Callithrix jacchus: one gene and its partners. The protein of the gene in region 1 purifies or fractionates together with the protein of each later gene. This does not show direct contact. Links are inferred from orthologs where the notes say so. Each region holds a gene or a part of one and is shown in the gene's direction. Other genes may lie near its edges.

Region 1 (3,653 bases):
CATGGTGGTCTCTTACAAGAATGGAGAAGATCTTTCTTAATATGCAAAGGCCTCTTGTTTCTTCTTATCTCAATGAACTAGTGAGAGTCTACATTTAAGATAGTAAGCCCAAAGCTATATGTCCCCAGAAGTTGGAAGTGTTCTTTCATTTCTTCCTTAGGATTCTTTAAGAAAATACCAGAAACTGATTCTTCCATAGATATTAATAGTAAGTGGATCTGTGTTAATATCTAAAGTTTCCTAAGAACAAATATTTACCTCTGCATTTGTTAAAAATGCTGAAATGTAATGCTCTATTGGAATTCTATAAGAAATTGTCTTGTTTTAGGATGGTCTTCACAATACCCTCTACAATCCCTTCTGGCTGGTTATCAGTGCAGTGGTAATGATGAACACACTTCTTATGGAGAAACAGGAGTCCCAGTTCCTCCTTTTGGATGTACCTTCTCTTCTGGTAAGAGAATTACTCTCTAGGCAAGGCTTGGACAGAAATCATCTATTTCACACTTACAGGGAAAATATACTGTAGTATTTCCCTTTCAAAGAAAAGTAAATTAGGTGGATGTTAGAGTTTTTTTTAAAGACCATTGTCTTCTGATTTATAAAATAACTTAATCTCTGTGCATCATTAGCATAACTATATTTCCTCTAAAGCATAGACTCTTATAGCACCATTTTTTTTTAAGTGATATTAAGAAAAAGGTTGCAAAGGTTCAGCTATTATGAAATTGTTTTACCCAGTAGATACATACCCTTTGATCTGGTTGAATGTATCTTTCCATGATTCATTGGGGAATATATGAACAGAAATGGAAGTACTTCGCTAGGCACAGTGGCTCACACCTGTAATCCCAGCACTTTGGGAGGCCAAGGCGGGACCAGGCACAGTGACTTACACTTGTAATCCCAGTACTTTGGGAGGCCAAGGCAGCTGGAGCACTTGAGTTCAGGAGTTCAAGGCCAGCCTGATCAACGTGAAACCCTGTCTTTACTAAAATTACAAAAAATTAGCTGGGTGTGGTGGTGCACACCTATAATCCCAGCTACTCAGGAGGCTGAGACAGGAAAATTGCTTGAATCTGGGAGGCTGAGTCAGGAGAATTGCTTGAATACAGTGAACCAAGATTATGCCATTGCACTCCAGCCTGGGTGACAGAGCAAAACTTCATCTCCAAAAAAAAAAAAGAAAGAAATAGAAGTACTTGTCTTCACCCATAATAGTTTGAGAAAAAAGAGAAAAAGTTGTGAAAAGGAAATTTCAAGCTAACAGACTGCTTACAAAAATTAGCCAGGCATAATGGTGCATGCCTGTAGTCCCAGCTGCTGGGGAGGCTAAGGCAAGAGAATCACTTGTACCTGGGAGGTGGAGGTTGCAGTGAGCCAAGATCATGCCATTGCATTCCAGCCTAGGTGACAGAGTGAGACTGTCTCAAAAATAAACAAATCTAATAGACTCTTATGTAGTCATGATTGTGGTGAAAATTAATAAAAATGTAATAAAAAATAAAACTAATAGACTCAGCCTGCTGGCGGCCTACATCATCATATGCCATTGTTTACCATTGGCCAGTGCCACTCTTGTTTTAAGTACTACCCTCGATTTAGCCCTTCTCTAAATAAGAGATGATTTGAAGATAATTTTGGTGGTTTTTCAGTAAACTTAAAAATGTTTGTGTTACTCTATGTATTTCATTCTTTATTTCTGATTTAGCTCCCAATATGGAACATATCCTAGCAGTTGCCAATGAAGAAGGCTTTGTTCGATTGTATAACACTGAATCACAAACTTTCAGAAAGAAGTGCTTCAAAGGTAAGTCTAGGTCTCCAATTTTTGTTTTAACATTTAAAATAATTTATAAATCCTCAAGTGAATTATTATTTGGACACATTCTGTTTTAGTCTGTCTTGTGTTGCTATAAAGGAATAACTGAAACTGGGTAGATTAAAAAGAAGAAAACGTTTATTTGGTGCATGAGTCTGCTGGCTAGAAGATTAGACATCTGTTGAAGGCGTCAGGCTATCCTCACTCATTAAGCCAAAGAGGAGCCCATGAATACAGAGGTCTCATGGCAAGAAAAGGGAGGTGGTGCCAAGCCCTTTTTCAACAACCAGCTCTCCAGGGAACTAACAGAGTGAGAACTCACTCATCTGCCCACCTCTTAGGAAAGAAGGCTAGGAAAATTTATATATTATAAAATTCCACTGGTCTATTTAGACCACTGGAAATGGAAGAGGGCACTCCAGGTGGAGGGAAAGGCATTAGCAAAGGTCTAGAGATAGAAAAGGCATAGGATATAATAAAATAGGAAGTGACCAATTTGATTGGAATAAGATATATCTAGAGCAGTGAGAGATGAGGCTTGCAACCAAGATAAAGGCTAAAGCAAGCAGAAATTTGAATGTCAAACCAAAGTATTTTACATTCCATTCAGAGAGCATCATGAAGTTCTTTTTTGTTTTCTGTTTGTTTTTGTTTTTGTATTTTTGGTAGAGAGGGGTTTCACCATGTGGCCAGGCTGGTTTCCAACCCCTGGCCTCATGTGATCTGCCTGTCTCGGCCTCCCAAAGTGCTGAGATTACAGGTGTAAGCCACTGTGCCCAGCCAGCATCATGAAGATTTTTGAACTGGAATGTGTTTCAGATAGATTCTGTTTTAGAGAATATATTACTAATGAACTTATGGAAAGGAATTTGACATCAGATGGTAGTAGTTCTCATGTGGTAATTAAGGGAACGTGTAATGTCTGAGTCCACAAATTCTCTTTGGCTCATGCACCCTAGGGTGCTGACTACTGATTTTTTATGTGTGAATCTTTATTTATTTTTATTATTTTAAGTTCCAGGGTACATGTGCAAGATGTGCAGGTTTGTTACATAGGTAAACGTGTGCTATGGTGGTTTGCTGCACATATCAACCCATCATCTAGGTGTTAAGCCCAGCATGCATTAGTTATTTTTTCTGATGTTCTCCCTCCCTCTGCTCCCCTCAACAGGCCCCAATATGTGTTTTCCCCTCCCTGTGTGCACCTGCTCTCGTTCTTCAGCTCCCACTTATGAGTGATAACATGCAGTGTTTGGTTTTCTGTTTGTGTTGAGTTTGCTGAGGATAGTGACTTCCAGCTCCATCCATGTCCCTGCAAAGGACATGATCTCTGATACCTCTTTTTTATGGCTGCATTGTATTCCATGGTGTAGATGTACCACATTTCCTTCATCCAGTCTATCATTGATGGGCATTTGGGTTGATTCCATGTCTTTGCTATCATGAATAGTGCTGCAGTGAACATATGCATGCATGTACCTTTATAGTAGAATGATTTCTATCTTGGGGGTTATATACTCAGTAATGGGATTACTGGGTCAAATGGTATTTCTGGTTCTAGGTCTTTGAAGAATCACCACATTGTCTTCCACATGGTTGAATTAATTTACATTCCCAACAACAGTGTAAAAGTGTTCCTATCTCTATGCAGCCTTGCCTGCATCTGTTGTTTCTTGACTTTTTAATAATCGCCATTCTGACTGGCGTGAGATGGTAGCTCATTGTGGTTTTGATTTGCATTTTTCAAATTATTGACTACTGATCTTTTTACTACTACATCTTTCCAGCTGTTTAAACTACTATTTATATGGCAGCCAAAAATCACAATTTA
Region 2 (3,653 bases), on another chromosome or scaffold:
CACTCAGTGGCAGTTGAACCATCTTCCTAACATTGCTAAGGCCATGAGCTGAGGACTGCGATGAACTCTGAAATCCACGTGCTTCTCTTCTCAGGGGAAAGCAGCTAACATTTGGTAGGAGAGCTCCCAGGGCTGGAAGGGAAGCTGCTGGGACGTACTTCATAAGGACACGGGGAAGAGGGTGCACGCTGAGGGCTGCTGCAGATGGAGCCAGGGCGGGGCAGGTGGGGCAGGCAGGGTCGTGGTACTCGAGTGCCTGAGTGTCTCCAGCCACTCACCAGGAAGGTGATGAGAACCCTGGGCTTCCATGGCAGATCGTGTCATACTAATTTTATTGTCAGTGGCATGCATGACCTAGCAGTGTCTTAGTGCCTGACTGCCCCCAGGAACATGGAGCAGTCCTGTTTAAGGAAGGAAATACATGGCACACTAGTCTGGCCAAAAAAACAGACGTTTTTAAAAAGGAATGCTTGGCATCTAGATGTAGAGAATTAGCAACTTCACATTTTTTTGATAATGTTGAATAGCATAGCTGGAGTTTCACCCATAACTTCTAAAAAGCAAAACTAAGTCGTCTTGTTTCTTACTGTCTGTACAGGGATATGGGATTAGAACTATTCAGAACCCATATTATCAGTGATAAAATGGTTCAGAGTAGAACCATTGATGGAATCCTGCTGCTGATCGAGCGTGAGAGGAGCGGTGAGGCCGTGGACCGGAGCCTGCTGCGGAGCCTGCTGGGCATGCTGTCCGACCTGCAGGTGAGCACGCTGCACTGGAAGATACCCGGGTACCTGCCCAGCTCCTCGCTCCAGAATAAATGGTTGTACCAAAGATGTTTAACAATGAAATCACAAAAACATGTTGGAAATAGGAGTTTTTAAAATTTGTGGGAGGGGAATGACTCTCAAGCTAACACCACACCAGGTGCCACAGAAGAGAAGATGGATCAATATGACTACATAAAATGCATGTTTTTCCTGGAAAATACACCAAAATCAGAGACAAAACCAGGTGACACGCTGGGGGAAAGTATTAGCAGCACACAGAACACAAAGGGCGAAGTTGTTTAGTGCAGCGTGACCCCAAGGCACCGGAGGAGAAGGACAGAGGAAGGACAGTGCAGCCGGGCTGGCTGGGTGACCACAGCTCCAAGTTCAGGTCATGGCAGCCTGCCCCTCAGAAACCAGGATGTGTTAGCACTCGAAAAGATAGTTTCCCTTACTGAAATTGGTTAGTAACTCTGCTCATTTCTTAGGTGTATAAAGACTCATTTGAACTGAAATTTTTGGAAGAAACGAATTGCTTGTATGCTGCAGAAGGCCAAAGGTTGATGCAGGAAAGAGAGGTGAGGTGATGGGATGTTTCGCTTCTGTGGACGAGCACCCGGGAGTACTTCCCTAATGTTCGCCTTTACACACACACGCAGGCGTTTCATTGAAATCTGAAAGCTGCAGTCTTGCCAGAATACCCAGTAATGAGCTTCATTCTGAGTATACTAAGAATTTAGTTTCCATTAACTTAGTAACTATTGCACTCCTCCGACAAGTAAAAAGCCAGTAAGATTGTTTCTGAAGTAAGTAAAATAACTCAAATTTAAGCAACATGAGAACATTTTAAAAATGAAATATAAATACAAATTATGAAATTTTTTATGTGTGTGAAGCACTGAAAAAAAAATTCCCAAAAAAGCCATGTGAAAAAACGTGTAATAGTGATAGGAACCCAGAAACATGCCCACTTTCCCACATAGCAGAGCAGAGTCAGAAAGGAGCCTGCCCTGTGGGCTGCCACCCAAATGGTGCATGCTACTGCCCAGAGTGGACCTTGGCCATGGGTTCCTTTATCCTGGCTTTGGGGAGGAAGTTTAATGTCGGACGCTGGACCTGGCTGCAGCTACCCAGGGCAGAGCCTCAGACCTTTCCTGTGATGTCTTGGGAAACGTGGGTGTACTTTGAGGTCTGCAGCCATGTTTGGTGTCCCCACGTGAGCAGCCAGCTTGCTGACTTGCTTTTGCTGACCCAGCTGTGCGGGCTCAGCACCTCACCCTCCTACCAGGTGCTGCTCACCTCCACACTGGCCTCGGGGATGGGAGGAGGCTCTGCGCACACCCCAAAACTTGATGGCGAGCAGGGACGACAAAGAAGTGCAGCCTGGGCGCTTGTTCTAAGATGGATGTTAGTCTCAGGAGCCTGCTCCTTGTCCCCCACACACTTCCACCCTACCTCTCCCTCCCTATTAGTCTGTGTTAACATTTGGCTTGAATGTATATTCTGATTTTTTAAAAAATTAAGGAAAACAAAATGTTGATTTCTTGAATAACGTCAGCAGTTGTTTTGTTACTGATCTGCTTGTTTTGTTTGGAAGGTTCCAGAATACCTTAACCATGTAAGTAAACGCTTAGAGGAGGAAGGAGACCGAGTAATCACTTTCTTGGACCACGGCACACAGTAAGTACCATTCACGCACCGAGCGTTCGTGTCTTCACCACGGCTGGAAGGTTCTCCTGGCTGGTTCTTGAAATAAAGGGTGTCTTTGTCAGTTCATTCAGTACTTTCTAAGAGTGTTTTTGCACCTAGCGTATCTTACTTATGTTATTTGGCATGATTTGGCATTTACAAATTACACTTTTTACCCAGTGCTTCGTCATGGCTTATTGTCTAAGTGGAGTAAATCTTGCTGAGATACCTGGCATCTTTGAGTTTTGAGATGGTCTATTTACGTTAATGGAGTCTTACTGAATGTTAGACTATTTTGATTGCAAACCTTCTGCTACACATTTTATATCGCTTTAATTTTATTTTTGGTGCTGTCACACAATTTTCTCTTTTCATCTGATGTTTTTTTTCTGTAAACCCGAGGTTGATGAGTAGTTAGGGAAATAAAAAGCTAGAGATTGTGTGAGCTTGCATGTCAGGCACAGAGGGTCCATTCTTGTGATGGGAGGCAAGAACAGAGGCAGAGGGGACAGCCAGGGAGAGACATGAAAATGATAGAATGTGCAGAACAGGACTCGGGGGGACTCAGCAGAGAAGACAGAGGAAGAGAGATGGAAATGGTACCATGTGCAGAACAGGACTCGGGGGGACTCAGCAGAGAAGACAGAGTGGAAGAGAGATGGAAATGGTACCGTGTGCAGAACAGGATGCGGGGGGACTCAGCAGAGAAGACAGAGGAAGAGAGATGGAAATGGTACCCTGTGCAGAACAGGATTCGGGGGGAACTCAGCAGGGAAGACAGAGGAAGAGAGATGGAAATGGTACCCTGTGCAGAACAGGACTCGGGGGGGCTCAGCAGAGAAGACAGAGGAAGAGACATGGAAATGGTACCCTGTGCAGAACAGGACTTGGTAGGGAAAGGGGCAGACAGGGTGAAGGAAAGGGACAGGATTATGACAGCATACAGCACGAAAACAGAGGATGCAGGAGAAAAGATGCAGTCACTCAGATGCGTGGAGTTGAAGGAGCCTGTAGGAAATCCAGGATCTTGAGCCAGGCCAGGGCAGCTTAGGGGCCACCTTGTGCTTCCATCCAACCAGGAGCAGAAGAGGAGCCCCCAGGGAAGTCCGGGGTAAATAGCGGAGAGAGCGGCTGCCACGGCCAAGCCCCACAACCAGGGTGTGCAAGTCACACAGCCTTCCTGAGCTCTGTCTG
Region 3 (3,653 bases), on another chromosome or scaffold:
ATAACATGGTGAAACCTCATCTCTGCTAAAAGTACAAAAAATTAGCTGGGCATGTTGGCAGATGCCTGTGATCCCAGCTACTCAGGAGCTACACAGGACATTCGCTTGAACCTGGGAGGTAGACGCTGCAGTGAACCCAGATTGCGCCACTGCACTCCAGCCTAAGTGACAGAGCAAGACTCTGGCTGAAGAAAAGCATTCTGTTTTACAAGGGGTACCTATGTGTCTTTATCTTTTGCACCACTAATCTCTGAGTCTGAACCTCTGTCTCTTCTCATCTGCTCTGCTGCAGTGGCTTTCTTTGTGGAATCCCTGCCTCCAGTTTCTCTCCTGTAACATGTCCTGATGGTACTGCCACAGCCAGGCTTCTATAAAACACCCCTTTGACTGTATTATTAATCTGCTAAAGTACCTTCCATTCTACTCAAGCACTTTCCATGAGTCCCAGTTATCCAAAGGATAAAGTCTAAATTTCTTACCTTTTGGCCGGCTGTGGTGGCTCACACCTGTAATCCCAGCACTTTGGGAGGCCAAGGCAGGCAGATCACCTTAGGTCAGGAGTTTGAGACCAGTCTGACCAATACGGTAAAACCCCATCTCTACTAAAAATAAAAAAATTAGCCGGGCATGGTGGTGGTGGGCGCCTGTCCTAGCTGTTTGGGAGGCTGAGACAGGAGAATTACTTGAACCCAGGAGGCAGAGGTTGCAGTGAGCCAAGATCATTCCACTGCACTGTAGCCTGGGTGACAGAACAAGACTTTGTCTCAAAAAAAAAAAATTCTTAACCTTTTATGTAACATCCTCCGCCACCTAGACCCCAGCTTTCTAGCTTCCCCTCACATAATTCTTCTCTTGCTAAATTGTCCAGCTAAACCCATTACCTTATTATCCCTTACATGTCTTTCCTTTTTGTGTGTTGATGCTCTCTGCCTAATGTCCCCCTTGCTCTCACATATCCATACGATAGATTCATAAATGGTTACCCTACACCTTGCCTTTTCCCTGAGACTTCTCAGGCAATTCTAGCTCCAGATGATCACTTGAGCTCCTCTACATGAAGAGTACTTATTATCTCTAACCCTTAGTTGGTGGATGGTTCATTTTATATAGCACTATAGCATCACTTATTGTTATTCAATGTACATCATTACATTTAATGTTTTGGTGGGTTTAGACCACATCCCCCATATAAATGGTGACTTCCTCAAGGTAAAGATGTCTCTTATGCTTTTTTATATCCATTGTTACACGGAAGCAACTGAGATAGTTTAAATTTTTAAAAAATGCATTTTCAGACATTTAACTTCTAGATTTTTCTTACTATGCCCTGATGATAAATTAGGCACCTTTGAAAGTGGGAGCAATTTTTTTAGATGCCTTAAGGACCTACCTAAAAAATTTGATTTTCCAAAATGCAGTAGGTCCTAAATAGGGAACTAGAAAGGGAAACAAATCCACATGAGATTTTTATTATTTTAAAGTGGCTAACAAAAATTATAATTTACCCTAGAGAGGCAGCTCATTAAATTTATGTGCTGTTGGCTTCAATTTTTCAGCAACAGGAATAAACTTGTCATTCAGAAGTTTTGACTGGTTAATAACATCTTGGGAATTTCTGGGCTCTACAGAAATAAAAGGAATAAAACAAGGATGTTTAGTAGAAGATTTGGATCCACAACCCTTGAAGTGTAAAGAAACCATGGTTAGCTATTACCTTGTTGGAATAAAAACTAAAACATGAGAATAAGGGATAATTTGAGAATAAAGTATAATTCACTTAAATTTGGCCATAACTTTTATGTGATGTAGTTGAATTTTTTTTCACTTACTAAATTTTGTGCTTTTATTTCATAGATATTATGCCTTAGAGGTCTCATATTTCAAATCCTCTTTGGATCGAAAATTGCTCGAGCTGTTGTGGAATAAATACTGGGTGAATACATTGAGTTCCTCTAGCTTGCTTACTGTAAGTATTATACTTGCAAGGAATGCATTTGAATTTTATCTAAGCTACTTAGCCATTTAATATCTGAAACACTGTTTCACAGAAAGGCAGTACCTAACTTGGCCAAGACACCAAGGCTGAGGTGAGATTCTGCACCACCAGAGTGGGATTAGGATGCTAGGCCAATTCAAGATTTTTGTCATGACCCATAGAGACAAAGTCTAAGTAGCAAATAGAGTGGCCAGATCAGGGTGAGATCTGCTCCTGCCATAAGGAGATTTATGGATAAAAAATATACAAATATTGATTTTTGTGTATCAGGTGTCTCAGCTTGGAGTCTGGTTGCAAGTAACACGACACCTAATGAAATTAGCTTAAGAAAGAGAACTGCGTAAGTTGCAAAGTTGAGGAATAAGGCTTAACTTAGGCACAGCTAAGTTTTCATTCAAACAATATTATGAGATCTTGTGTTTTTTCTCTCTTAGCATTGATTTCATCTTAGTTACTGCTAGTTTCAGGCTTCATGTGAAAGCAAGACAGCAGCTTTAGCTTTAGACCTCCAGGCCTCTCAGTTTCATGTTCAAAGAAAGAGATGGTCAAGATACACACACACACACACACACACACACACACACACACACTCTCTCTCTCTCTCTCTCTCTCTCTCTCTCTCTCTCTCTCTCTCTCCCCCCCCCCCCCACCCTCTCTCTCTCTCCCAGTCAAAACTTCATTGTGTCTGACTGGCTTTACTTAATCACATGCCCATTTTTAGGACACACACACACACATACACACAGACACACACCCCCATGCAAAATTTCATTGTGTCTGACTGGCTTTACTTAATCACATGCCCATTTTAAGGCCAACTGAATAAGCCTGATGAATGGCTTTGGCCATGGCAAGTGCTTTACTGCTGGGCCACAGTGTAGAAAACTCCTTCAGTAGCTCAAGTACTAAAAACGGGGAAGGAGAGGTTCCCAAAGGGAATCAGAATAGCATTACCTTAAAGCAGTAGATGCTGGGAGGGAAAAAAAAAAAGAGGTCACTGAATTTTTTCTGATAATATAAAAACCCAAAATATTTGGAAGGATATTTAATCAGCTTCTCTATATATAGAACTTAGGAACAATTTTTTTACTTTTCTAAAAAAGCAGGCCATTTCATATACTGCAGTATATATAGTAGTTAGAACCATAGGATTTAGAATAAAATAAACTGGGCTTGGAGAATATGAGCTACAGCAGCAGGAGTCATAGTAGGACCATCACTTAGAAGTTTCTTACGCTCTTTGATCAAGTATTGGTTGAAAGGAGTACAGCTGAAGCTGGAACTAAAGAAGGCATTATGCTTCCAGAAAAATCTTAAGGTAAAGCATTGCAAGCAACAGTAGTAGCTGTTGGATCACGCTTTCAAGGAAAAGGTGGATTCAACCAGTTAATGTGAAAGTAAGAGATAAAGAATTATTCTCCCTGAATATGGAGGTACCAAAGCACCAAAGTAAAGAACTACTTTGCCATTCTTTAGGTTTATTCAGTTGACCTGGAAAGCCAAGGATTGTGTTTTCGTTTCGTTTTTTGAGACAGGGTCCCTGTCATACAGGCTGGAGTGTGGTGGTACAATCTTGGCTCACTGCAGCCTCAGCCTCCCAGGCTCAAGCAGTCCTCTCGCCTCAGCTTCCCAAGTAGCTGGGACTATAGGGGTGAGC

Evidence for each region.
Region 2: the proteins of DTL (region 1) and CUL4A purify together in Homo sapiens (affinity purification with western blotting; 15 studies listed by BioGRID and IntAct, with this or other methods). This does not show direct contact. The link is inferred for Callithrix jacchus from reciprocal best matches to the Homo sapiens genes DTL and CUL4A.
Region 3: the proteins of DTL (region 1) and COPS5 purify together in Homo sapiens (affinity purification with mass spectrometry; 6 studies listed by BioGRID and IntAct, with this or other methods). This does not show direct contact. The link is inferred for Callithrix jacchus from reciprocal best matches to the Homo sapiens genes DTL and COPS5.

The regions. Positions count from the first base shown.
Region 1 is NC_133520.1:17,185,777-17,189,429, forward strand, and holds part of DTL (denticleless protein homolog), read left to right. Parts: intron 1-160; coding exon 161-208; intron 209-328; coding exon 329-454; intron 455-1,711; coding exon 1,712-1,810; intron 1,811-3,653. UniProt on the Homo sapiens protein: Substrate-specific adapter of a DCX (DDB1-CUL4-X-box) E3 ubiquitin-protein ligase complex required for cell cycle control, DNA damage response and translesion DNA synthesis.
Region 2 is NC_133502.1:28,688,387-28,692,039, forward strand, and holds part of CUL4A (cullin-4A), read left to right. Parts: intron 1-598; coding exon 599-761; intron 762-1,258; coding exon 1,259-1,348; intron 1,349-2,367; coding exon 2,368-2,450; exon of another isoform or gene 2,451-3,653. UniProt on the Homo sapiens protein: Core component of multiple cullin-RING-based E3 ubiquitin-protein ligase complexes which mediate the ubiquitination of target proteins. As a scaffold protein may contribute to catalysis through positioning of the substrate and the ubiquitin-conjugating enzyme.
Region 3 is NC_133517.1:22,930,739-22,934,391, reverse strand, and holds part of COPS5 (COP9 signalosome complex subunit 5), read left to right. Parts: intron 1-1,854; coding exon 1,855-1,966; intron 1,967-3,653. UniProt on the Homo sapiens protein: Probable protease subunit of the COP9 signalosome complex (CSN), a complex involved in various cellular and developmental processes.